7 linked regions of the Neurospora crassa OR74A genome follow. The protein of the gene in region 1 purifies or fractionates together with the protein of each later gene. This does not show direct contact. Links are inferred from orthologs where the notes say so. Each region holds a gene or a part of one and is shown in the gene's direction. Other genes may lie near its edges.

The links.
Region 2: the proteins of NCU06678 (region 1) and NCU06099 purify together in Saccharomyces cerevisiae (affinity purification with mass spectrometry; 5 studies listed by BioGRID, with this or other methods). This does not show direct contact. The link is inferred for Neurospora crassa OR74A from reciprocal best matches to the Saccharomyces cerevisiae genes XRN1 and YGR054W.
Region 3: the proteins of NCU06678 (region 1) and cyt-19 purify together in Saccharomyces cerevisiae (affinity purification with mass spectrometry; 3 studies listed by BioGRID, with this or other methods). This does not show direct contact. The link is inferred for Neurospora crassa OR74A from reciprocal best matches to the Saccharomyces cerevisiae genes XRN1 and MSS116.
Region 4: the proteins of NCU06678 (region 1) and NCU01601 purify together in Saccharomyces cerevisiae (affinity purification with mass spectrometry; 6 studies listed by BioGRID, with this or other methods). This does not show direct contact. The link is inferred for Neurospora crassa OR74A from reciprocal best matches to the Saccharomyces cerevisiae genes XRN1 and LSM1.
Region 5: the proteins of NCU06678 (region 1) and NCU10352 purify together in Saccharomyces cerevisiae (affinity purification with mass spectrometry; 5 studies listed by BioGRID). This does not show direct contact. The link is inferred for Neurospora crassa OR74A from reciprocal best matches to the Saccharomyces cerevisiae genes XRN1 and LSM6.
Region 6: the proteins of NCU06678 (region 1) and NCU06540 purify together in Saccharomyces cerevisiae (affinity purification with mass spectrometry; 8 studies listed by BioGRID, with this or other methods). This does not show direct contact. The link is inferred for Neurospora crassa OR74A from reciprocal best matches to the Saccharomyces cerevisiae genes XRN1 and PAT1.
Region 7: the proteins of NCU06678 (region 1) and NCU09512 purify together in Saccharomyces cerevisiae (affinity purification with mass spectrometry; 6 studies listed by BioGRID, with this or other methods). This does not show direct contact. The link is inferred for Neurospora crassa OR74A from reciprocal best matches to the Saccharomyces cerevisiae genes XRN1 and LSM3.

What each region holds. Positions count from the first base shown.
Region 1 is NC_026505.1:4,232,173-4,236,179, reverse strand, and holds the start of NCU06678 (exonuclease Kem1), read left to right. Parts: upstream 1-1,207; 5' UTR 1,208-1,772; coding exon 1,773-1,777; intron 1,778-1,862; coding exon 1,863-1,956; intron 1,957-2,024; coding exon 2,025-2,331; intron 2,332-2,390; coding exon 2,391-4,007. UniProt on the Saccharomyces cerevisiae protein: Multifunctional protein that exhibits several independent functions at different levels of the cellular processes. 5'-3' exonuclease component of the nonsense-mediated mRNA decay (NMD) which is a highly conserved mRNA degradation pathway, an RNA surveillance system whose role is to identify and rid cells of mRNA with premature termination codons and thus prevents accumulation of potentially harmful truncated proteins.
Region 2 is NC_026507.1:1,796,984-1,801,159, reverse strand, and holds the start of NCU06099 (hypothetical protein), read left to right. Parts: upstream 1-1,376; 5' UTR 1,377-2,133; coding exon 2,134-2,718; intron 2,719-2,783; coding exon 2,784-4,176. UniProt on the Saccharomyces cerevisiae protein: Functions in the early steps of protein synthesis of a small number of specific mRNAs. Acts by directing the binding of methionyl-tRNAi to 40S ribosomal subunits.
Region 3 is NC_026504.1:2,294,457-2,298,384, forward strand, and holds cyt-19 (CYT-19 DEAD-box protein), read left to right. Parts: upstream 1-1,128; 5' UTR 1,129-1,368; coding exon 1,369-1,712; intron 1,713-1,775; coding exon 1,776-3,312; 3' UTR 3,313-3,837; downstream 3,838-3,928. Other genes in the region: NCU07671 (hypothetical protein), read left to right, coding at 1-376. UniProt on the Saccharomyces cerevisiae protein: ATP-dependent RNA helicase required for mitochondrial splicing of group I and II introns. Specifically involved in the ATP-dependent splicing of the bl1 intron of COB. Also required for efficient mitochondrial translation.
Region 4 is NC_026502.1:2,980,984-2,983,990, reverse strand, and holds NCU01601 (hypothetical protein), read left to right. Parts: upstream 1-1,173; 5' UTR 1,174-1,437; coding exon 1,438-1,615; intron 1,616-1,689; coding exon 1,690-1,758; intron 1,759-1,883; coding exon 1,884-2,203; 3' UTR 2,204-2,507; downstream 2,508-3,007. Other genes in the region: NCU01599 (hypothetical protein), read right to left, coding at 1-304. UniProt on the Saccharomyces cerevisiae protein: Component of the cytoplasmic LSM1-LSM7 complex which is involved in mRNA degradation by activating the decapping step.
Region 5 is NC_026501.1:3,587,561-3,590,392, reverse strand, and holds NCU10352 (U6 snRNA-associated Sm-like protein LSm6), read left to right. Parts: upstream 1-1,263; 5' UTR 1,264-1,354; intron 1,355-1,451; 5' UTR 1,452-1,480; coding exon 1,481-1,592; intron 1,593-1,715; coding exon 1,716-1,829; intron 1,830-1,933; coding exon 1,934-1,956; 3' UTR 1,957-2,332; downstream 2,333-2,832. Other genes in the region: NCU09363 (hypothetical protein), read right to left, coding at 14-436; hsp30 (hsp30-like protein), read right to left, coding at 2,579-2,832. UniProt on the Saccharomyces cerevisiae protein: Component of LSm protein complexes, which are involved in RNA processing and may function in a chaperone-like manner. Component of the cytoplasmic LSM1-LSM7 complex which is involved in mRNA degradation by activating the decapping step.
Region 6 is NC_026504.1:1,578,099-1,582,188, reverse strand, and holds the start of NCU06540 (topisomerase II associated protein), read left to right. Parts: upstream 1-1,290; 5' UTR 1,291-1,647; intron 1,648-2,079; 5' UTR 2,080-2,126; coding exon 2,127-4,090. UniProt on the Saccharomyces cerevisiae protein: Activator of decapping that functions as a general and active mechanism of translational repression and required for P-body formation. First decay factor recruited to mRNA, at a time when the mRNA is still associated with translation factors.
Region 7 is NC_026503.1:55,582-58,617, reverse strand, and holds NCU09512 (U6 small nuclear ribonucleoprotein), read left to right. Parts: upstream 1-1,225; 5' UTR 1,226-1,389; coding exon 1,390-1,512; intron 1,513-1,622; coding exon 1,623-1,715; intron 1,716-1,872; coding exon 1,873-1,950; 3' UTR 1,951-2,536; downstream 2,537-3,036. Other genes in the region: NCU09511 (hypothetical protein), read right to left, coding at 1-806; NCU09513 (GTP-binding protein 1), read right to left, coding at 2,842-3,036. UniProt on the Saccharomyces cerevisiae protein: Component of LSm protein complexes, which are involved in RNA processing and may function in a chaperone-like manner. Component of the cytoplasmic LSM1-LSM7 complex which is involved in mRNA degradation by activating the decapping step.

The sequences.
Region 1 (4,007 bases):
GCTTGTAATTATATGCGTATTGGGCTATAGTACCCCTCGATCTTCCTTAGGTTATTTTTTTTTTCTTTTTTTTTTTTTTCTTTTTTTATATTATTATCCTTAGGTTATTATTTACAACTAGTTTCATGTGTTGTCTTTATTTAGAGCCGGAATTAAAGTTTTTTATTTTTTTTTCGTTATACTTTCTTATTGTTATATTTATATTAAGGAATATATATTTTATACTATTATATCGAAATAGTCCTAAAGGAGGCGTATTTGGGGTAGCCTGAGGTGAATATTCTTATTGGCTACCTATACGGTACCCGTACTCTAATTTTCTTATATACCTAGGTTAGAGTTTTAATTTACAATTATTAGAAAGGGAATAATAGGAATTACTTCTATAAAGAATACCCGCCACTTAGGTAGCTTAGATAAGTAATTTAATATAGCGCTTTCTCCCCTACTACCTACCTCTATCAATATAAGTGTAATATTGATTGAAAATTGCTGTGAAATAATTGTAAGGCTTTTGTTACTTAGAATAGATATTAATTGTTGAATAAATAAATATAATTAAACAATTATTATATTAATAAGAATATTAGCTTGCAATTAGCAATTTAAGTGAGTATATTTATTATGTTGTATATTTTGTAGTTCGGGTCGTATTGTTGTGGTACAGTTCGCTGTTGTCGTACTTTTGTGCGCTGTTGAACGGTTAATTCCGTTTTGTATACAATACCGCGTTAATAGTCGTTGTACTATTAATTAAAACTACGTATTGTAAAATAAAACCAACTTCAATACAACAATATTCAATTATCTAGTAGATTACAGTAAGAAACAATATTGTGTAAGGATGTTGTAGCCCACAACCCCTGCTCAAGCGTTTTATACTATAAAGGCCTGCTACGCCCACTTTTGTCAGACCCCCCATTCCCTCCAGGGCAGTTCCGTTCCGCTCGTCGAGGGCGGAGGCTCGCTTGAGGTTCGTTACCTTGAGGTTCAGTAGTAGCTGGTGCGGGGAGAGAGCTGACAGTGACAGCCGGGAGCCTGATGAGGTGGCGGAGCGCTCACTACTGGCCTGGCCTGGCCGGGCCGAGCGCTAGTACCTAGCTCTAGAGGTACCTCTACCTCTACGACCGACGCTCACGCCGCCCCCAGGCACACAGTCAACCCGCGTGGGGCAACGGAGGCCAACTAGAAACTGCAGTGTGTCACAGCCTGAACACCTAGCCAGCCCGGAGCCCAGGACCCGACACCTTCTCCGTCCCATCCACACCTCTGACGGACCTTCCACTTTTGTTTCTCTTGCGGTTCCATCTCGTAGACATCACCCACTTCTTCCTTTACCTCCGTCTATCTCGAACATAGGCCGCCAACGTCCTAGGCCACTCCTCGGATTCTCAACCTTTCCGCTTTTCTTAGCACTATAGTAGCTTCTTTTCCCGATTGGCGCTGTCGGTTGCTCCAAGGACACTCCTCTTCTTCCCTTCCATAGACAGCATCTTCAGTCTTGGACCTTGCTGCTTCGTCCCCCCTCGGTTTATTGCACCATTGCGATCCCTGGAGGCTTCGCTATCTAGAAACCCGGCCATTATTATTCAGTGCCGGCATTTGAACGACCAGCTTGACGCCTCTCCTTCGCCCCCTGACAGCAGTAACTAAGTAGACTCCCCGTCTGCGACATCTCCTGCGACCGCTCAGCGCGCCCCAATTTCAGACCTCCTTCGCAAACTTCTAGTAGTGTACACATCTAGTCCGGCACCACAGGCCACTTAGTCAACATGGGGTATATGACTCCCACATCAAAGCTCCTCCCTCGCCGTATACGCGCGCGTTGTTCAGGCGTGTGGCTAATACCCCCTCTTGTCCAGTGTTCCCAAGTTCTTCAGATGGCTCTCGGAGCGGTATCCCGCCATTTCTCAGCTCATCGCCGAGAACCGTATCCCCGAGTTCGACTGCCTTTATGTTCGCTGCTCCCTCCCGAGGCCTGATGGCTGTCTTGCGTTACTTGCCTAGCTAACCGGTTTGCTCAGTTGGACATGAACGGTATCATCCACAACTGTACCCATAAGGACACGAGCGATGTACAATTTCGCATGACAGAGGAGGAGATGTTCATTGCTATATTCAACTACATCGAACATCTCTTCGGGAAAATCAAGCCCAAAAAGCTTTTCTTTATGGCTATAGATGGCGTTGCCCCTCGCGCAAAGATGAACCAACAGCGTGCTCGTCGTTTTCGTACCGCGCTGGACAATGAGAAGGCTAGAGATAAGGCGATTCGTGAGGGCAAGGAATTGCCCAAAGAAGAACCTTTCGACAGTAACTGCATCACACCTGGTATGTCTGGCGCTGGTGCCCGCTTGAATGTTTTCCCCGGAGGCTAACTAGCTGCATAGGAACCGAATTCATGGCCAAGCTCTCGCAACAGCTGAGATATTTCATCCATAAAAAGGTCTCGGAAGACAGGGACTGGCAACAGCCCGAGATTGTCTTGTCTGGACACGAGGTCCCTGGTGAGGGTGAGCACAAGATCATGGAGTACATCCGCAATGCGCGCGCTCAACTCGACTATGACGCGAACGTCCGTCACTGTTTGTATGGCCTCGACGCCGATCTGATCATGCTTGGCCTCCTCAGCCATGACCCTCACTTCTGCCTTCTGCGCGAGGAAGTTACCTTTGGCCGCGGCCCGTCTAAGCATAAGGCAAAGGGACTGGAGGAGCAAAACTTCTATTTGATGCATCTCTGCATAGTCCGCGAGTACCTGGAGCTGGAGTTCCAGGATCTCAAGAAACCTGGAGCCATGTCTTTTCCATTCGATATGGAAAAAGTTATTGACGACTTCATTCTTATGGCATTCTTTGTCGGAAACGACTTCCTTCCCAACCTTCCGCGGCTTCACATCAATGAAGGCGCTCTTTCGCTCATGTTTAGGATCTACAAAGAAATTCTTCCGCGCGGCGACGGATATATCAACGAGGGCGGTAAGGTCAACCTCCAGAGACTCGGCCTGCTTCTGGAAGAACTCGGCAAGGAGGAGTATCGCTTTTTCGAACATGAACATGAGGATCAAAGCTGGCTTCGGGCCAAGAAGATGCTTGAAGATAACGAGGCAGAGACAGCAAAGGCAAAGACCAAGGGCAAGCTCATCGTCACCACGAACCAGAAGAATCTCTGGAAGCAGAAGATCAGGAAATTCCTTATGAATAGGAGCACTAATACGCTTGACCTCGGTACCGAGTTGAAGGCCGAGGACCGCAAGTTTGTCCAAGACTTGGCTGATACTGCTCACATTCCTTGGGCAACTAAGGAAGATGACGAGGGACACCGCCACCTAATCCTGTCCTTCCCCGAGAGAGACGACGAGTCGGAAGAGGACGAGGAAGCCCAGTCAGCCGTTCTCCGTATCATCAAGAAGTACGACAACGCCCAAGTCCTGGATTTAACTGCGGCCGACTCGAAGGCTGCCATGGAGGTTAAATACCAGCAAAAGTTCCAAGAGTGGAAAGACAAGTACTATGCCGAGAAGTTTGAGGATTGGACCCCAGAGAACAAGGAGGACGAACTCCGCAAGTTGACGGAGAATTACGTCCAGGGTCTTCAATGGGTGCTCTACTACTACTACCGTGGTATTGCTTCTTGGCCCTGGTTCTATCGCTACCACTACGCTCCCCTGATTTCCGATGTCATGAAAGGCCTGAAAGCCGACCTTAATTTCAAGATGGGTCAGCCGTTCAAGCCATACGAGCAGCTGATGGGTGTCTTGCCAGACCGCAGCAAAAAGATCGTGCCGACAGCATATTGGGATCTTATGACAAACCCCAATTCTCCCATCATCGACTTCTACCCAAGAGACTTTGAGCTTGACATGAATGGCAAGAAGATGGATTGGGAAGCCGTTGTCAAGATTCCCTTCATTGACGAGAAGCGGCTGCTTGCAGCAATGGGCCCCAAGAACGAACTTCTCTCGGACGTTGAGAAGTCGAGGAACGATTTTGGCGTCGCACTCAAGT
Region 2 (4,176 bases), on another chromosome or scaffold:
CCCGGATTGCTTCAGCGAGAGTGTGTTGGTGTGCTTTGACTGAAGCTGGAAACAACTGCCGTGTGTTATATGGGGAAACAGCATTATAGAGGGATAGAAACATGAAAGGAAAAAAAAAAAAAAAAAAAAAAAAAAAAAAAAAAAAAAAAAAAAAAAAAAAAAAAAAAAAAAAAGGGCCCGTTGTTTACGGGGGGCAAGCGGAAAACATGGAAAGCAAACAACATGGACCGCGTGGTAGGATCGTTTGTAGTGAGTGTATAGTACCTCGCGAAGAGACGAAAAGGACCGTACTGTGGCTCTCCTGGTATCATAGGATGTGTATCACAATTGCTTGGACGTCTGAACCTAGAGGTAGTAGAATAGACCTAGGTACCTAACATGAAGGACAGCACCAGCCATCAAGAAGGGTATCACTACCTTTACCCACAGATCCTCCATTTGGCAGGGCATGCGGAAGTGATGGCGCGTGTATTCTGAAAATGTTCTCCAGGAACGACCAAGCTGGAGTTCGGTAGTTTCACTTGGGTGTAACTTTCGTGCCATAGAGCATCGAGTAAAGTGGTGCCGAAACCTCACCTGAATGGAACAGGTCATAAAAATGGATAACCTCAGGTCTGTTAGGATGGCAAGTTGAGCAGAGAACGCAGTGGTGGACGTCGCCCCCGGTCCGATGTCTCTTGTCCTGAGCGTCGTCGGGGTCCTATGTCGTTGACGTTGACGTTGACGAAAAGGCAAATCGGGCAGGGGCCTTGGCCGTAACTTGGCGCGCCGCTGACTGGCCCTTGCCGCGGCTCGAACAAGGGACAACAAAGCCTAGAACACCGGGGGCCGCAACCTGTTGGGGGTGTTGGAGATCGGCTGGCCGCCGTGATAGGGCCCGTTAACATCTGATAGGCTCGCCCTGGTCCCTACGGGGCTTACGGGTACGGTCACTAACGTCTGTCACCGAATGTCACCGAGACTCTGAAGGGAACACGGCCCCACGGCGGGGCTCCGCTGTTCAATGTTCGGTCCCCTCGAGGTCCTCCGCTGCCAATCTAGAATAGAGGTCCGTGTGGCAGAGGTCTGAATCAGCGAACGGACAACCGCCGCGACCTCGAAATGCATAAAGCCTCCAAAAAAGTTAGAGATCGCCCAAACGGAAGGCGAACAACTCGTCCGCGCCGTCTTGCTGGACTATCTCTAGGTGTTTTTTTAAGTGTATATTCTACGGTCATATTGCCCATTAGTGCAGTCCTCGTCACATTGTTTAGCTCCCGTCTGCTGTTTGGTCGGGTGGCCAGTGCCCGTGCCAATGCCCAATTGAATATCGATGCTGCAGTGACATGTCGAAAGAAAAGGAAGAAAAAAAAAAAGAAAAAAAAAAGTGTAGGTAAGAGATATGGAAAAAAAACCAAAAAAACCGAAACCACGATACCTGTGGAACCGCGTCCGTATCGTAACTTTCTTCGCGTCCACCTTCTCTGCCATTCTCCATTGTCCTACTTTTCCTCCCTTTCTCCTAACCCACCTCTCCCCTCTTTTTTCCTCTCCCCCCCGTCAACCACACTCGCACCGCCTTTGCCAATTCCTTCCCTGAGGGTGCTTCTCTTCATCGTTCACGTTCCTGAATTCGGTCGATTTTTATTCTTCTTGGATCTCCACCACGGCGTGTGCCCTTTGTTCCTCGCCGCCGTCCAAAGCAACATCGCATTGTTGTCCCATCGTCACGGTCTCCCTTCGTTGGCAACCTGCGATTCAAGATCTGATATCTTCCGCCTCCCGCCCCCCCGTCCCTGAGTCGCTTTCCACCACCACCTAGGACTCAGCAAGAAAAAGCGTCGCTTTGTGTTGCACTGTCGAATTCTGCTCTGCTTCTGCCAGTCGAGTTTCTACCTTTGCGCAATCACCATTGTTGTGTTGCGCCAGATCGATACTCCCCCAACTCCGCCTTCGCCAACACACAACCAAAGCTTACGAGCTCCGCCTCTCGCAGCTTCGACACCAAGCGTGACCCGTTTCGAACACCGAAAAAAAAAGGTCCGCCTCTTGCTCGCAGCGACGACTCCAGTCCCCCGGGAAAAGGAGCCAGGTAACGAAACGAATCCCACACCGCTTTCTGCAAACCGCGATCACCTGTGACTTTCGCTAGTCATGGCCAATCCGTTGCAGCTCGCCTACCGAACCCAGAAGGCCATCGGCGTCTTTGATGCCGACCCTGTCTACGAAGCCCTTCCTGGATTCACCAAGCCCGAAGGGAATCTCCGGTGCTGTGTCTACTCGGGATGCGGCCGCTACTTTGCCTACGCCACTAACGAGGGCGTCGTCATCGTCGACGCGTCCGTCGGCCACGTCTTGACTTCGCTGCCCATCCCTGCCGTCTACGAACTCAGCTTCTCCCCCCACGGTACCTACTTGAGCACCTGGGAGCGCCCCGCCAAGGATGAGAATGGCGATGCTACCAAGAATCTCAAGATCTGGCGCACCATTGAGGAGCTCGCTGATGGTGCTGAGAAGCAGCCCATTGGCAAGTTCGTCCAAAAGTCTGCTAATGGCTGGAACCTGCAGTACACGGAGGATGAGCGCTTCTGCGCGCGCATCGTCACCAACGAGGTCCAGTTCTACAACAGCAACGATCTCGGCACCGTGTGGAACAAGCTGCGCGTTGAGGGCGTCTCCGACTTTGCCCTCGCGCCCGGTAAGAACCAGAACGTTGCTGTTTTCGTCCCAGAGCGCAAGGTACGTTACCTGATCTCCCGTATGCATCGCACTTTTCTATATCAACGTCTAACTGTTGGTTACAGGGACATCCCGCCTCCGTCAAGGTCTTCAACGTTCCCCAGTTCACCAGCCCGATTTCGCAAAAGACCTTTTTCAAGGCCGACAAAGTCCAGCTCAAGTGGAACCAGCTCGGAACTGCTCTGATTGTGCTGGCGCAAACAGAGGTTGACAAGTCCAACAAAAGCTACTACGGCGAGACCAACATGTACCTCCTGAGCGCCAACGGCTCGTTCGACGCTCGCGTCACTCTTGACAAGGAGGGCCCTATCCACGATGTGTCGTGGTCCCCCAACTCCAAGGAGTTCGGTGTCGTATACGGCTACATGCCCGCGAAAACCACCATCTTCAACCACCGTGCCGTCGCCACCCACTCCTTCCCTCTTGGCCCCCGTAACACCATCATCTTCTCGCCTACTGGCCGGTTTGCCTTGGTTGCCGGTTTCGGTAACTTGGCTGGTCAGATCGATGTTTACGACCTTGAGAAGGATTATCGCAAGATCACCACCATCGAAAGCGGTAACCCCAGTGTCTGCACCTGGTCTCCCGACAGCCGTTACATCTTGACGGCCACTACTTCTCCCCGTCTTCGTGTTGACAACGGCATCAAGCTCTGGCACGTTGGTGGCGGTATCATGTACAACGAGGACATGGTTGAGTTGTACAACGTTATCTGGCGCCCTGTTCCTGCTAACAACCTTCCCAACGTTGACCCGCTGCACCCCGTGCCCACTCCTCACCCTTCGGCTTTGGCATACCTTGGCACTGTCAAGACGCCTTCCAAGCCCGTCGGTGCCTACCGCCCGCCCGGCGCCCGTGGCTCTTCCACTCCTCTTCACTTCAAGCGTGAGGACGAGGGAGGTGCCGCCCACTCGGTTAGCAATGGCGTGCCTCAGGTCGGTCCTAATGGGTTCGGCCGCCCGCGCCGCCAGATTCCTGGCGCCGAGTTTGCCGAGCCAGCGAGACCTTCTGTTCCCGGCGCCGCTGTGGACGATGAGAACTTGTCCAAGACTGCCTTGAAGAACAAGAAGAAGCGCAACAAGAAGGCCAAGGAGGGCCAGGCACAGGGCGAGGGCGCGACTACTCCTAACGAGGGTGGTCTTGCCCCTCCCCGCGAGTCTGTCGACGGCCGCAGCCCCGATCGCAACCACCAGCGTCACCACTCGCGCAGCCAGTCGCGCAGCAACAACCTGGCTGTCCGTACTCAGAACAACCACCGCAGCCGCTCGAACGTGCGCCAGGCCAATGCCCCTGCTCAACAGGCTGCCCCAGTCGTTGACGCCGCCGCAGCGGCTGCCCAGAGCGCCAATGCGAAGAAGATCAGGTCTCTTCAGAAGAAGATCCGCGCTATTGAGGATCTCGAGATGAGACATGCTGGTGGTGAGAAGTTGGAGGATACCCAGTTGAAGAAGATCGCCA
Region 3 (3,928 bases), on another chromosome or scaffold:
ATGGGTCTGGTTCGTTTGGCCGAAACTGTTGTGTTTCTATGTTAGGATGGAACAGGTCAGTCAAGCTCACGGACAAGAGGTGGCGGGCAGTCTAGGTAGAGGCGCGTTGTCGGTTGCTGATGCCATCGTCTTTGTTGTGAACCAGGAACCTGTAATGGAGGCGGCGCGGGGACTTGGCAAATGGGTTTATGAGGGGGTTTCGGGAGCTGTGACGGATTTTGTGGCAATGAAGGTAGCTGAGAGGAGCGGAGGCAGCAACAAGAAGAAGAATGAGGAGGAGAAGGAGGAGGAGAAGGAGGAGGAGAAGGAGGAGGAGAAGGAAGGAGAGGAGGAGGTCAAGTTGAAGGCATCTTGGTGGGAACGATACTTGTGGTAAGCGATCATGAGTACGACAACAGCGGCAAGAATTATTGGGATAGCGGTATCAGATTGGAGGTATTGATTGGGACCTGATTGGAATAAGAATATGCCTCAGACCATCATGTTTACAAATGTCCAGTTTCCCACTTTCTCGGTGTTGAGTACTGTATGCCCATGTGTAGAGAGATCGCCATGAGACGGAACGCAAGAGTGTGACGACTGACCCGACGTTGCGAGATGAGCGGATCTATCTCATGTGAGGCCATGACGGAGACCAATGCTCTGAGAATCTGCTGGACAGATGCCACAGAGCCTGTCGAGAAGTCCAGCTGAGGTACCCTGAGCCGAAACTCGGAGCCGACTGGAATTTCATGTTATTCCGTAGCACGAAGCTGATATGAACACCTTTTGAACCTTTGCCGGCCTCTACAGCGTAGAGAAAGGAGATGCTTGGTGTATCGTTTCCTGCGTAGTGTACATAGACGAATGAGACAAGGACCAGGGAGGACTGAAGTGGGCAAAGGGGGAGGGTCCTGTTCGGCCCCATGTTTTGCGGAGATGATCGCTTTCCAGTGTTCCTGACTAGCGAATGTACCGTAAGGTAGCTCATCCCTATCTGAGGGTGCACAGGTACGCTTAGATACTGGGCCTCAAAGATGGGGCTCGGTGCGGAGTAACGGCTGATAAGATAAAGGCGGCTCATACGACAGGGATCTAACTTCAAGCTTCGACTTCGATAGCATGGAAATTTTTTGCTGTTGCAGGTACCAGGCCCTTAGCCACTTGCGCTCTCTTCCCATCTCTTGTTTTTTTTTCCTACCTTTTCTGCCCATCATTCCCATCACACTCGACGCCGACAACGGTTTGACCGATTTCTCTGGTTTGATTGTCCGCCTCTTATCGTCCCCACCCACAATTAATCCATCAACCCAAGTCGTTGACGGATCCGAGTGTGCGCCGCCATCTTATCAGTCCCGTCCCGTCGCGTCGCTGTAGCCGTCGCCCAACATGAGGACCAGCGTATTGCGCCAGGCCGGCCTCTGCCGTGCTGCCCTCGCTGCCCGCCATCTTCAGATCTCCTCCAAGCCCTCGGCCGCCCTCTTGAGCCAGGTCACCCGCGCCATCGCCGTTCAGTCCCTTCCCTCGGCCTCTCTTCCCCGCTTCTACTCGGCCGAAGCCACTGCCCAAAGCAACACTGCTGCCTCCAATGGCCTCGTTACCCGCTTTGCCGACCTCGCCGCCTTGGGTGTTCATGAGAACGTTGTCCGCGCCATCACTCATGGCATGGGCTATGAGAACATGACCGAAGTCCAGTCTATGACCATCAGCCCCGCTCTCAAGGGCAAGGACATGTATGCCTAGATCCGTCACCTCCATTTCCGCGCTTTAAACAGTTGCTAACGTGAAGCTTCCAGTGTTGCTCAGGCCAAGACCGGAACTGGCAAGACACTTGGTTTCCTCGTCCCTGTGATCCAGAAGATCATCACCCAAGATCCCGACCTCGCCCACAGGTTTGGTGGCAAGAGAGCTCGTTCTGATGACATTCGCGCCATCATCATCTCGCCAACCCGCGAGCTTGCGGAGCAGATCGGAGAGGAGGCTCGTAAGTTAGTCAAGGGAACCGGTATCATCGTCCAGACTGCCGTTGGTGGTACCCAGAAGAACGCCATGCTGTACAAGACCCGTCAGCAGGGCTGCCATATCCTTGTTGGCACACCCGGTCGCCTGAACGATTTGCTTTCCGACAGCCACAGCGGCATCGACGCCCCCAGACTCTCGACCCTTGTTCTCGACGAGGCCGATAGAATGCTCGAAGTTGGCTTCAATGAGGAGCTTCGCCAGATTATCAACTACCTTCCCGATCGCAAGGTTCTTCCCCGCCAGACTCTGCTCTACTCTGCCACCATTCCCAAGGATGTTGTTGGTCTCGCCAGAAGCTACATCGACAAGAACAACTTCGAATTCGTCCAGACCGTCAAGGCCGATGAGGTCCTGACCCACGACCGTATCCCTCAGTACATCGTTCCCTGCAAGGGTTTCGAGAACATTTACCCGGCCATGCTGGAGCTGATCGAGAAGGCACTCAACGAGTCCAGGACTAACCCCGAGGCTCTTCCTTTCAAGGCCATCGTCTTCTTGCCTACTACCGCTGAGGTTATCATGGCCAATGCGATCTTCAAGCGCCTTCAGTGGAAGTTCAAGCACATTCCCAAGACTTGGGACATCCACTCCAAGCTCACTCAGAACGCCAGAACTCGTGCCGCCGACGAGTTCAAGAACGCGCGTACCGGTATCCTCTTTTCCTCGGACGTTACCGCCAGAGGCATGGATTTTCCCAACGTTTCCCACGTCATCCAGACCCACATCCCCCCCAACAGGGAGCAGTACATTCACCGTCTCGGACGTACCGGCAGAGCCAACAAGCCTGGCCAGGGCTGGCTTATCGTTCCCGACATCGAGCTCCACGCGGCGAGAAGCAGACTTCCCGGTCTCCCTATCAAGCGTAATGACGAGCTCGAGTGCGCTTCCGTCAACGCCGCTGATTCCGGTGCTGACAAGCACGCCAACTTCCAGCACATCCTTGACGCGGCGTCCAGACTCCCTGAGGACCTCTTCAAGGACTGCTACTCGTCCTACCTCGGTGGCGCTCTCCAGGGCATTGATCGCCAAGCCTTGGTCTATGCTCTCAACGACCTCGCCAAGTTTGGTTGGGGCTTGGAGGAGCCTCCTGCCGTCCGCCAGAGCATCATGAAGCACATGGGCCGTGTTCAAGGTCTGAGAGTCGAAACCAGAGAGCATTCTATGCGCCCCATGGGTAGCGGACCTGGCCACCGCCGTGATTTCAACTCGCGCGGCCCCCGTCGCCAGTCCGATGATCCCTTCGAGAATGCCCTTCACAGGGCTCAGGATCTCGATCGCCGTCCCACCCGTCGCCAGCAGGCCAGCTTCTAAACTAAGAGCTGGGTCAAACTGTGCATTGGCGACGAATGGGTTATTTGGTTTTTCCCGCTGAAAGAAGATGCTTGCGGGGTTTTGTCTGCTGAGCGAGACAGACACCTTCTCAAAAACCGTGGTATCGGGTCCCCCATGTATTTCCTTTCCGTACTGTTCGACATTGATACCATCTGTACTATAGCATAATTATCACGGGAAAAGCAAGGCCGGAGTTTCTTTTTGTTTCCATACATTGGGGTGGCTTGTTGTCTATGGAAATGTTATGATAGACAGCGCGGGCAACACACAAAAGAGGGGTAGTACAGTCTTTTTTAGTTCCGTGGTCACAAGAGAGGAGAAGAATTTTTGTTCAAGAAATGGGACTGGGACTGGGGCACACCTAGACATATTCGGGACTGGAGCTGGGGGGCTGGGGGCGTACTTCTGATTTTCATTTGTATAAGGAAAAGAATTGGGGCCATCTCGACTTTAGAAGATTTTCGTTCACTGTTTTTGAAAATTCCATCATGACATATTCACTGATCTCTTCGAGTTTCAACATGAATCGCACATAGACATTTTCGTGTTGTAAGATGCGAATCCTGGTAGCATGCTCCGATATCTGTCCGTTGAT
Region 4 (3,007 bases), on another chromosome or scaffold:
CGCCATTGAGCTGGTTGAGTCGTCTCTGATCCTCTTCGAAGCTGTCCAAAGGTCGATCGACATAGGGGTCGACTCGCATGACCAGACTGGTGTCAATCTGAATCTTTTGTAGTTGTTCGCGAAAGGCCTGGTCTCTGTCCTTGCTCCATTTGTCGGAAAGGGTTGCAATGCGTTCGGCAAGCATTTGGCGTCGCTTGTCTCTCTTAGACTGTGACTGTGACTGACCGGGAGGAGGAGAAGCGTTGGAGCGGCGATCAGGCCGCCCGGAAGGTGCGTCGGCCATGGTAACGTCGGTAGAAGCCATGGCGAAAGGGGGGTCCTCGTAAATATGTTTCTTGGTTGCCTGCTTTTTTATTGTATCCGGACCAGGTAAGACCAGGCGAGGCAAACCTCAAGGCGAGGCTGGTGGGCGGAAAAAAGAGAGCCCCAGTGCAGAGATTTGAGGCTAGAGGACGAGTAAGTCAAAGTCGACTGGACGACGGGAAGAGAGCTGCCCTCGTCCGCCGATGGACGGGCGCGCAGAATGGTTACAGCGCAAGGGCGAGAGAAAAGGAACGGCTTCTGGTGGTCGAAGCGGGTTTGGACATAGTCCTCATGGGATCTTTTGTGTATAATTGTCGACAGCGAGGGTACGTATGGTGCAGATGGAGAAATATGGAGTGGCAGAATGAAATGGGGTTGACAGCAGGTTGAGCCGAAGCAGAAGGACCGGAGAATGCAGTGCGGCACTACCTAGGTAGGTACAGGCAAACCAGCACAGGGAGGTCAGTGCAGGTCCCGTCGGCTCATTGTCCGGCCACCGGGTTGAATAATACTGTAGGTTGCTGCACAGCGCTTGGTTTCACCTTGCCCTGGCAGTGTTTACTGACTAGACATACAGTCCGGTGATCATGGAAGCTCCACCGCACAGGCGCTGTACCTAAGCGAGAGCAGTCTGCCGCAGGAAGCAGCGATAGGTTTGTATGAGCCGAGCTGATTGCTGAAGTGGATAAAGCTGAGATTCGCTCCGTCTTGTGGCTCAACCTGCGATGTGGCTGACTTGTATCATGTACATATACGCAAATTGCCTGCCGGAAGGAAGCTGGAATCATCCACTAAAAGCTTATGGCAGGAGCCGTGTAAGTAGAGTGGTAAAAAGATCTGTGCGACTCGGGCTGTCCTTCAAGGAACACACTTCTCGTCGCTGCCTCTCACCGTGAAAGTGGGGTGAACTGCACAAACAGCGGAGCAAGCCCAGGGCAGCCCAGGGCAGCAGCTATGTACTAAGGTAGGTATGTACGCAGTAGGTAGGTAGTAGTATGTGCGGGCAGGCAACGTCAGGGCGGGCAGCTGTCCCATCGCATCATTGCATCCCGCTTCCCATTCAACAACCTTGAAGACACCCCCCGAAACTTTACAGATGGACTAGAAGACATAGGCCATCTTCAGCACACAACCATGGAACACCTCTCGATAAACGATCAACCCCCACCGCCGCCCTTCCCTCAGGGCCCCGGCCAGCCTGGACCCGGCATGCCCCCGCCGGGACTCCTAGGAGGCGGCCGTCCTCCCCAGCCCCAGCAGTTGCCCGCGCAAATGTTCACCACAGCTGCCCAACTCCTCGACCTGACCGATAGTAAGAAGCAATATTGTGGACATATCTTTTGGACGGGAGGAACTAGGCTGACACGAGCGGCGGGGTACCAACAGAGAAGCTAATGGTAGCATTGCGCGACGGACGAAAGCTCACGGGCATCCTCCGCAGTTGGGATCAGTTTGGTATGCCTCCATGAACCTACCTCTCTCTTACAACACATGACCACCTATACACGCACGCACGAACGAGCACGAGTATGAAGAGGTAGCTGTGTTAACGCGAATCCACTTTTTTCCCACCATACTAGCCAACCTAGTACTACAACAGACAAAGGAGAGGATATTCGTGCCTCCAGGCACGCAGTCACCCACCCAGACCAGGGGGCTCTACGCCGACGTCGACCGGGGCCTCTTCGTTGTTCGCGGCGAGAACGTTCTCCTCATGGGCGAGATCGACCTTGACCGCGACGACGACCCGCCCCCGGGCTACGACCCTGCCGACCTCGAACTGGTGCAGACACTAGCCAAGCAGAAAAAGGCCGAGGAGAAGGCCAAGGAGAAGCGCAAGATCAAGAAGCTTTCCACCATTGGCTTCGAAGGGGAGAACGTAGGCGAGGCGCTTCTGTGAATGATATATGAATCACCCTCAAATTTTACAAATGGGACGGAAAGAAAGAGACGGGAGGAGAGACGACCAAAACTTTAACTTGTTATGATTTATACCTACATACCCCTGAAGTGGAAAGGGAGTGTCGAAGGAGGGAATGGCATGAGCGATTGGAAGCAGAATATTGTGAAATGCTATCCACTCAGCTGCGACTTCATACGAATGGAAGACCGCATGAAGCCTTACACCAAGGTCGGCCCAAGAAGACACCAAGTGTATTTTACCGTTAGAAAATTAGCAATTCGATGGATTGCCTCGAATCGAACCTGGCCACTACTGACTATGATCATGTTGGGAAAGGATAGCCCAGAGAGATATCCACGACTAACATTCTTTCCTAGGACTAGTCACATAGCCGGCACAAACCCATCGACTTCAACATCCTCCCACCCACCCGCCATCATCGATAACTACGCCGAGCTCGGGAAATGAGGCGTTGGCACTCATGACCAACCAACCGATTACCCAGCATCATCAAACTGAAAGATGATATGCAGCAAGTACTCAACCACCTGCTGCGGGGGTTGCGTTCCACATGCCAACAAAGGGGGGGTTGAACTTGTTTCGGTCGGAATAGGGAAATCCAATGTACCTCACGTTGATCCACTGAGGGTTCTGTATAAGCCGCTGGGAGATGTCGTTGTGGGCTGGGTTGGGCTGGCTGTAGGCCATCACTAGGTCTTTCGTAAGTCCACCACTATAAATCTGTGAAGTCGTCCATGAATGTATGGTTGGGCGTGGTGGGTAAACTGAAGTTGTACCAGC
Region 5 (2,832 bases), on another chromosome or scaffold:
AGGTCAAGCATACCCAAAACATCTGGTCCATGTTCTTACAGATGCAGATATCGACCTGGATGTGTCGTTGCCTGTCCTCTCCAAGCTGGGGTTCGTCTTTGGGCCAGGGGATAGCAAGGTGTATCGAATTATTACATGGGTTGACTATGGAGCGCTCCGCGTTCAAGGCTGCCTTGATGTCGGCCGCAAGCTCCTCCACCCCTCTGGGAATACAACGCCGGGGAGATGTTGGAAAGACGAGGCGGGTCTCCATGGCCACGAGGATGTCGAGGTCTCCATAGTCCTCTTTCTCGGGGCCCTCGACGGGTCCGGCGACGCACACAAACATAGTGCGTAGGGTAGCGTGGCATGCGGCTTTGACATGATGGTAGATATGGGGCGGCATGCGTGGAGTGTGTAGAGGATCGTTACCCGAGGAGAACATCGAGCCACCCATGTCGCAACGATTTGAGCTATTCGATCGTGAACACTGGAAAAGAAAAGCTTGAAGCTACTGAGCAGAAGTCGATGATGGATCTTGAGAAGGCCTGTTAAGTAGCCGATGGATCAGCAAAAAATCTCGAGTACGAGATGTACGAGGCATAATACATAGGTAAGCCGGCGTCAGTGAAGCGCAAAGCTGCCAGGGTTGCCTTCATCCAAACAAGATAAGGCTAAATGCGTTCAACGTATAGATGGAATGGGCTCGATTGGCCTCGGCCCGTGAGGGATACTACTAAAACAACTGAGATTCAACTTGGAAGCTGAGCGGTGCCCGTTTGCCCAGGTTTCCACCTGCTCGACAACCTGGTCGGCAACCATTCTTCACCATCGTCATCGCTCTTGCAGCTATTCCTGAGCCCTCAGGTTCAAGGTATATCGGCATCTTGTACTCGTCGCCCCTGCCCTCAGATTCCCGAGAACTAATTGCGAAACCATTGCCAGGGAGTGAGATGATATCAATAACAAGATGGGTGGGAACATGGTAGCGGTTCGTTTCCATCGCTCGATTATTCTCCTAAACCATGTATGCACTATGCGAAGGATCTGTGGAAAGGCTGAGCGCTGTCACGGTGTGGCAGTGCCTATACTAATGTCGTAGGTACCTACGTATGTCAAAGCTTCCTCTAGGCGCTGCGGGCCGCCTGCAGGACTTTTGCCTAGGTGCAGTACGGGCCTCACGAACGTTGCCCGTTAACATTGATACCGACCAAGCCCTGATAACCTAACGTGCAAGAGCACCAACAATCGTCAAAAGAAGTACCTCTCAAACAACAAACATTCCTCTTTTCGACATCATCACTCCCTAATCTCACCCTCCCGCCTCAACGAGTGCAGCCGCTCTCATTACTACTCAGTTACTCGCTCAAATAAAGTCAGTCCCCTACCCAGCGCACCCAAGTCTAGAGACGTCGCTCACACTCCAAAGTCGTCCCACCGCTTAATATTCCACCTGCTGACACCTCTCCCAGCCGAGTTCCATCACACCAATCGATCAATTATGGAGAACGGAGCCACGTCTCAAAGTGAGGGTAAAGACCCCTCGGGTTTCCTCAGCGAAATCATCGGTAATCCCGTCACTGTCAAACTGAATTCCGGCGTGGTTTACAAGGGTTAGTAGTAGCTTTCACCTCGTCATTTATTGTCAAACTACTGTTGTCTTGCAACTTCTTCTCTCTCGGCAGACACATGCGGAAACTAACAGGACGCCTGGGTTGTGGCACTGCGTGGTGTAGGTGAACTGCAATCCGTCGACGGTTACATGAACATTGCCCTGGAAAAAACAGAGGAATTCATCAACGGTGTGAAGAGGCGGAGCTACGGTGATGCGTTTGTCCGCGGCAACAACGGTGCAGACCCCCCCCCCCCCCCCCCCCCCCTCTCTCTTCCCCCTTTTTCTTTTTTTCTTCTTCTCTTTTCTACAATGCCAGAGTAGCGTCTAATGTTTCTGTAGTCATGTATATATCTGCGGATTAAGGCGGCATTCCAAGCACAGTTGTGTGAGGGGGGAAGAAGCTATGATGGGACGTGAGCAAGCATTCATCGATGTTGGTACTAGGGAACACACGTGCTCGAAGTCCAGCCGGCTCAAGAGTCAGACTTTCAGCTGTTCCTCCGTGCTCAGGTCAGCAAAACAGACTGATCAATCTCACGTGCAGCAGGGGCAACCGCTCACTCAACAACGGGGCCACGTTTGTCATCACATCACCAAGTACGAACTGGGGTAGTTGTGTTCAAGAACGCAACTTTAGTTATTATAAAGGATCCTCTGTATTACATTGCCTGTTTGAATCAACTGCCGACGCTGGAAGCTGATGATCCGCAAACTCGCCCAGCGCCTTGCTCATCCTCCAAATCTGTCTCGAATAGTAAGATCCGCCAATTATCCCCAACTGCAATGCCAACAAGCAAACAGACCATGACAACAAGACTCATTCGTATTCGTTCACAGCTGTGCTCCAAATCAACCAAACCAGGCCGTCATACCAATGCGATGCTAAATGAAGTAAATGCTCCGTTGTCATGCTGTTAACACACCGACTCTCCTTCCAAGAATTCTTCCGAACCTTATCACAGACAAGAAGACCGTTCATCGTGTTTAGTTAATAGCAATGCGAATGGTTTCGTGCTTCTTGGCCTTGGGAACCGTGATGGTGAGGATGCCGTTGTTGAGAGAGGCGCTGACTGCGTTTTGGTCGACACGACCGGGGAAGTTGAAAGTCCGCGAGAACTCGCCAATGGAGCGCTCAGAGACCCAGTACTTTTCGGCTGGCGCCTTTGGCTTTTCCTCGGTGGTGGGTGCGCTTGCGCGTTGGGCGACTTGCTGATTGTTCTGGTTGTTGGCGCCGGTAG
Region 6 (4,090 bases), on another chromosome or scaffold:
AGGTAGTTAGGTGCGAACTAGCCTGTAATGAAAACATCCCAAAAGTGTCGGTATCTACCTACAACATCCTCAGCAACGTCCGCAAGTGGCCTAAATAATATCTACATACCTACCAGAAGCTATCGCATTCCCCGTTCCTGATGGTCGCTTGCGGTGCATTCCCCTGAGCACCTCAATGTTTCCGTCCGGCCAGGACCAAAAGATTGGCCGCGGGGGTAGGCGGCAGGGAAAGACATTAGGGTGCCCTCGGTGCCCCCACAGCTTCGTCGTCACCTGTATCCGCAGGTACCCCATTATTGCGGGCCGTGACGGTTCTAGCGTGGCCCTGTTAGTAAGGGACAAAAACCCCCTTGAGACGGGCGTCGTCAACTTCCAGGGGCACTACCTACCTCTACGACGACTTCAGTTCACATGTCGCATCCGTCAACGGAGGGGTATGTCTTGAGCTTCTTGATCCTTTTACCACGCTGAGAAGTGGCTGATTAGCTCATACTATGATACTTGGGTTAATATGATCTGCTGCCGGCCTGCTCCCTCCGCATTGCTCCTCCGATCGGAGTAGTTCTTCAAGATGGCGAAGAACACCGACTTGAGTGATGGCCATGATACCTCCCTCTCAAAAGAAACAACAGGGAAATACCAGGCCCCTGATATAATTCAAGTTCGACTGCATACTATGTACAGTAAAGTCACCTGTCAAGAAAACAGCCTTAAGATAGCCATGCCATGTTTGCCTCTGTCCATGTCCGCGCTTCCGCTTCACCTGCATCGGAATGGCGAATTCACATACTTAGAAGCACAGTCTAAACAGCTGCGTTTAGTCACGGATGTCACGGCAGCAAAATGGATGCCTGAGCTACTGTCCTTGCCCTTCAGCTTTCTTGCCAAAATCGATATCTCGAGCTTGAAATTTGGTTGTCGGCTTGGCGTTAAATGTTGACCATGAGGTTGCCGTCCCGTCCGGGTCTCATGTTGTAGCCTCCAGTTGATCACTGTTACGCATCACAACTAGCGGGCGGGTATCGCCGATTGGCTCATCGGATAAAACAACTTGCAAGACTGGAAGGATGGAATGGACATTCTTGCCGGCGGTTGAGGATCCCACAGCCCGGCAGGCAATGGGCCTCTGGTTGCCGCCCAACCGTGGCAATCACTCCCCCGGCCGCGGCCTTGGAAGTCCCATCGTCAGTCAACGAACGGCAAGACAGGAGGGTGGTGTGTCAAAGCGTCAGGCCTACCGCCGCCCGCCCACCTGTTGCCAGGCTCCATTGGCCCTCGGGGGCGATTGGTCCACAGCTCCCTGATCTGGCTTCTGAGTTGGAGTTGGCCTGACTTCATCCATCTGCGTCGGTCTCTTGTCGCCTTTTGCGCTGCCATCAAGCTACCACTCCGAGCAACCGCATCCACATCTTCACCGCGGCGCACCCAGTTGCGCTTCCGGTCGTTAGTTCACAGCCTTCTTTGCTTCTCTGTTTTAATATTTCCAAGCCGAGCGCTGAGTATTTGTTGCCGCCCTGACAAGCTCTGCTCCGCTCCTTTGCACGAGTCGCACCGCCGTCGACACGTCTCCTTTCCCTTCACGTCGCGCATCGCAGCATCATGGTGCTTGACCAAACCGATCATACCAACATCTTTACATATCGTTCTGTACGTTGTTCTTTGATTTCTCTACAGCGTGCTTGCAACCTCGGTATGGCAAGGTCATGGGATGAAAGTTGGGCTCCCATGTCCCAATTCTCCATCTTCCATGTCGTTGTTGTTGCCCCGCGCTTCAAGAGACAGCTCACCACCCCCAGCTAGGTGGAACATCCATCGAGTCGCCCCTCTGCTTGGCTCGGGCTGTTTGACCACTGGACCTTCAAGCCCTTCCTGTTTCCCCTTCCACCCAGAACTTCGTGAACCTGCGTCACGGCTGTTCCTTCTTTATACTTCTCGTCCCACTCACCAACCAGGGTCTCGTCTTTTGCTTTGCCCCTCATTTTCCTCTGTGCCCTTGCCAATCAGCCAAAGCTCAACATCGCACCCGGATTTGCGCCGCAACGATCTTTCTTCGCTCAACGTATACTGACCCTACAATAGTGATACCTCTGTAGAAATTTTCCATAAACCCAACAGGCATCGCCAATATGTCTTTCTTCAACTTCGACCAGTCTCGCCATAATACCGCCGCTCCCGGCTTCTCCCAGGCTCACGATCCCTTTGCCAGCCTAGCCAACCGGGACGAGGAAGCCGAAGAGATCGACTTCGAGGACACTTATGACGGCTTGGGTGACCAGCTGGATGAGACCGACGATGCCTTCAATGATGATACTTTTGGCGGCGATACTGGCGAGCCGGGTCCTGTAGGCAAAGACTTTGACTTCTTTGGCCACACCGCCAAGGTCGCGAACGTCATTGAAGAGGAAAATGTTCGTTTCAACCGCCAACAACCAGCTGCCAAGGCTCCCCAGCCTGTCGCGCAGCCATCGGCCTATACGCCCATCGCCGGACCCTCGTACAACTATTTCGCGCAGGCTCCAGTTAGACCTGCCAGGACCGGCTACGAAAAATACCACGAGCAGCCGATCGAGGATCTTCAGGTTGACGCTGCTCTCTGGGGTGTCGCACCCAAGAAGCAACCGCCGCCGCCTGCTCAACCTGCCGTCCCTAGCGCGCCGTCTGGGGGCCGCAAGATGCTGAGTCTTGAGGAGGTTGAGGCTCAGATGCGCGCCCAGGCTAAGGCGGCCACCCCATCTCCCGCTCCTCAGCATCAGCCCCATCAAATTCCACATGAACAGGCTTACCTCTACCAGCACCAAGCTCAGAACCAGCCGCAGGCTCACTTCCAAGCCGGTGTCGTTGAACCTCTGTACCATCAACCGCAGGGACATCCCATGACAATTCTTCAGCGGCCTCACTCGAAGCCTCCTACGCCAGCCCAGCCCTCTTCCCAACCGCCCGCTATTCAACAGCATCAGCAACCCGCTGTTCCTCAGCAGCCTACTCAGATCCTGCAGAACCCCAACCGTCTTTCAGGCGACGCGGCTAAGATCGGGCTGCCTGTTCACCCTACGCCTCCGTCCGGTCCTCAGTCCGCTCACCAGGGCCACAGGCAACAAGGCTCTCTTCCGCGACAGCCCCCTATGATTCTTCATCCTGCCCAGCTGGCTCAGCTCTCGGAGGAGGAAAAGGCTGCGTATCTTGAACAGGAAGCTAAGCGCGCCAAGCGCAACCACAAGATCTTCCAAATGTCTCGCGACAATGGTATCATGACGCCACAGGACAAGAATTTCATCACCCGGATCCAGCTTCAGCAGCTTGTCGCAGCCACTGGAAATCCCAATGAACACGGCACAGACGAGTCACTCGCCGAGGACTTTTACTATCAAGTCCATAGTCAGATCCAGGCTGGCCATCGCCAGCACCCCAGCCAGCCTCTGAACCAGTTCGCTCAGACTTATCTGTTTCAGACAGGAAGCCGTCAAGGAGGTATGCGCCGCCATAACAGGGGTCCTGAAAACCATATGCAGAGGATGGAACAACAGGTCCAGCGTGCTGTTGAGGCGGCCAAGAACAAGCCCAAGAATAAGCAGCTTGTTATTGAAGGTAGCTTGGGCAAGATTTCCTTCAGCAACGCCAAGACCCCGAAGCCGCTTCTCAACATCAAGCGTAACGACAGCGCCAGCGATGTGAAGAAGGCACCGCATCCTGTTAATGGCCGGGACAAGAAGGACGAACTGAGGGCCCTCGAGCTGGTATACACTACACTTATGAAGATGGAAGACCACGAACGCAACATGCCTATGGCGCCTGCCGAGGACGATCAAGAAGCTCTTGCCAAGGTCTTTGCATGGAGTAACGAGGGACAGGCGTTGAATGAGCAGCTTTGGAAGGCTCTGAGGGTGCAGGATCACGACCAGCCAGGCCGCATCCACCCCTTCATGGCCCTTCTCAGTTACAGTAAGGGCAAGAAAGCCATACCGCGCATCTTCCGTCACACGAACCACGAGCAAAGAATTACCATTTTCACACGCATTGTCGTGAATCTCGACCAACTCGACGTTGTCCGAGAAGCTCAGGTTACAACTGATGACATCCAGTTCAACGCCGC
Region 7 (3,036 bases), on another chromosome or scaffold:
AAGAGGTTTACAGGCTTGACGCGGAAGTCATGCCGGTTGTGTTGGGTATACAACGGTTCCGTCAAGAACCGGGCCTTGAGAAATTCGGCATACAGGTCCGTCTGGCGCTCCCACATCTTTTCAGAGACGTTCATGTGGAACCAGATCTTGCGAGCCAAGAGGGGGTCCGAAATCGATCCGGCGCATCGCAGCAGGACTTTGTAGTCGGACAAAAGAAGGGGAGAACCCGAGCGGAATCGACGAAAGGCAGCTTCGTGAACTAGGGGGTAAAGGTCGGTGTTTCTTTTTCTGACGCCGTAATTATTGACCAGAGCCCCCAAAGGGGACCAATCGGCCATGGCTGGGTCGACCCATATGTCTCCTAACGGATCTTGGTCTTTGTGAACGGCTTCGACGGGGTCAACGGAGCGGAGAAGTTCGCTGAATGCTGTTGGTGGAAGTTGAAGGATCTCGAGTTTGTTCTCCTTGAAATAAGTGAGCATTTTGTGGGGTTGTCTGAAGGCCGCGGTGAAGCCGTCTATCCAAGGCGACCGTTTTGTCACAGGTGGCTTCTTTGCGACGACGGGTCTTGCGAGAAGGGTTCGGAGGAGGAGGAGCTCATCTTGCTCGAGGGGCTGTCGAGGTCCGTCAAGTTGGTGACCGAATCCATGGTGGGCAAAGTTGCCTGGGTATGGAATTGCTGAGATGGGTTTTGCTGTTTGGGTCGTAGAATGGGGGAGCTTCTGGAGCTTGTTGACGGCGGAGGCTAGTCGTCGAGATTTCGGAGAAGGAACTCGAACCCCACGACAGGAGAGAAGGGCAGCCATTGGGTTGCAAATTGGGGTTGACGGCGTTGTACACCACCCCCATTGGCGACTTTCGTCCGCAATTGAAGCTCGGCCGTGGTGTTGAAGGGGAGCTGAGTGCCCTGGTGGGCGTGCCTAGGTACTAACTGAAGTCGAGGTGTAAGTCAACCCCGCTAACTCAAAGAGGAGAAGTGCGATGGATCTCGCGATGCCCGCCTTTGCAAATCCGGGGAAGGCCTGTTGTCACTTTGGGCGCCTGTTCCTGCCAAGACCTTGCCCAGCCGAAGCTCTGGCATAAGCGTTTAAGAACCGGTCAAGCTTCCACTTCGGAAGCGGTCAGTGCGTCGGGCTGCTTCAGTTGCTCTTGGCATGCGACCAGCTGGCACTGACCTCAATTCGCACCGAAGCGAGCGCTTCCAATCGGGCAGGCATGGAAACCCCCCGCCGTCCGTCACTGGCACTGGACTCACTCATCATCGTTCCAGGGCGCTGCAGCTGAGGTCCCCGCCATCAACAACAGGAACACAACGCCAACTTCATTTTTTTTTCTCTCTCTTCACTCGTTATTTATTTTTGGCTCTTTTGATATCACACATCACACAAAATGGCCGACGCAGTAGAAGATGCCGGCTCTGTTTCCGAGCCCATGGACCTCGTCCGCCTTTTGCTTGACGAGGTTGTCTGCGTCAAGCTGAGAGGTGATCGGGAGCTCAAGGGCCGTCTGCACGTAAGTCCACTCTTATGTTTACATATCCCCTTTTCAGTCGTCACATCTTTCCCGTTACGCCTCACTCACCACCACCCGAACTCATTGCTAACTCGGATACTGTGATGTAGGCCTACGACTCCCATTGCAACCTTGTCCTCGGGGAAGTCGAAGAGACCATTTACGTCGTGGATGATGAAGATACCGAGGAGGATGACCTGAAGGTATGCCATCTTTTCACTTACCCACCGCCACTCTCTCGTCAAACCACCTCTCACCCCTTTCCCATTATACCCACCCTCCTTCCCCTTTCCTTCTCATACCTCGTTTGTCTTTTTTGCTTTCCCTTTCCGTCACTCTCATATACTAACAAAAAGGCAGACCATCTCCCGCAAGTCCGAAATGCTCTTCGTTCGCGGCGATTCCGTCGTGCTCATCTCGCCCTTTACCCGTTCTTGAGAAGAGGCCGTGTATGTGGAGCGACCAGTTGACGAGCACGATTTCCGCCACCGCTACGGCATCAAACCCTTCTCCGGTGGCCCGCTTGGCCAGGACCGGTTGCCCATCGGCAGGTGGAACTTATTGCACGTGGCGGATGAGGCGCAGTTTTGGGAGGGGGTAGATAGGGAAGAGGAGGAGCATTTGGAAGAGAAGGGAAAGGAAACGGCAACGGCGGAGGGTTCTGGACAGTCAGCAGCCGAAGGTTTGTCTCAGTGGGAGTTGGACATGGGTCGTCGCTAAGCCTACCTACCTAGGTGGTGGCTACCTCAAGGTCGAGAGGGGCGGCGCTTACAAAGGAAACCGGTAACCAAGCTTCGGGAAGAGGATAGGAGAGAGATACAAGGAGAGAAGTTGGCTTGAGATGTGACTATCACCGTCATCACATCACGTTCATCGTTTGTCGTTAGAGCCGAAAGATAGATCACGGCACAGATATACCATTGTTATTCCCGGCCATGGAGCATTGATAGCCAGGCAATCTCCTTCCTCCTGAGGAGGCTGAAAAGGATCGCTCGTACAAAGAATACAGTACGTTGCTCAAGAATTTTCATATGTTCATTTGAGAATACCTGTAGGTCACTCATCTTCCACCGACACATACAAAAGCCATATCGTCCATGATACTACTACTACTACTACTCCTACTACTACTTGAATATCTGCAAGTAGTGGGTCACCACTAGTTCTGTACTGTGCCCTGACTGCGCCGCTCCGTATATGAGCCATCAAAACGAGGAGATGAGGCCATGCATCAAAGAAAGTATAAAGAAAAAAAGGTAACGCGGCCCCCAACTTGGGTCATCACAACATCATCTGCCCAACGCCAAATCAGCACCAGGTGCCAGGTCACTAAGCACCAACCTTCACCTCGTTACCGCCACCCTCATGTTTGACATCTTCAACGCCCGCAGCCACCTTATCACCCCCTTCACCTACATTAACCCCGCCCAACGGCCGTTCAGGATCATACCCCACACTCTTGACGATACCCAACCCCTTGGTTCTGCCTTCTCTGAAGAGAAGTCTGTCTCCCGGGACTAGGTA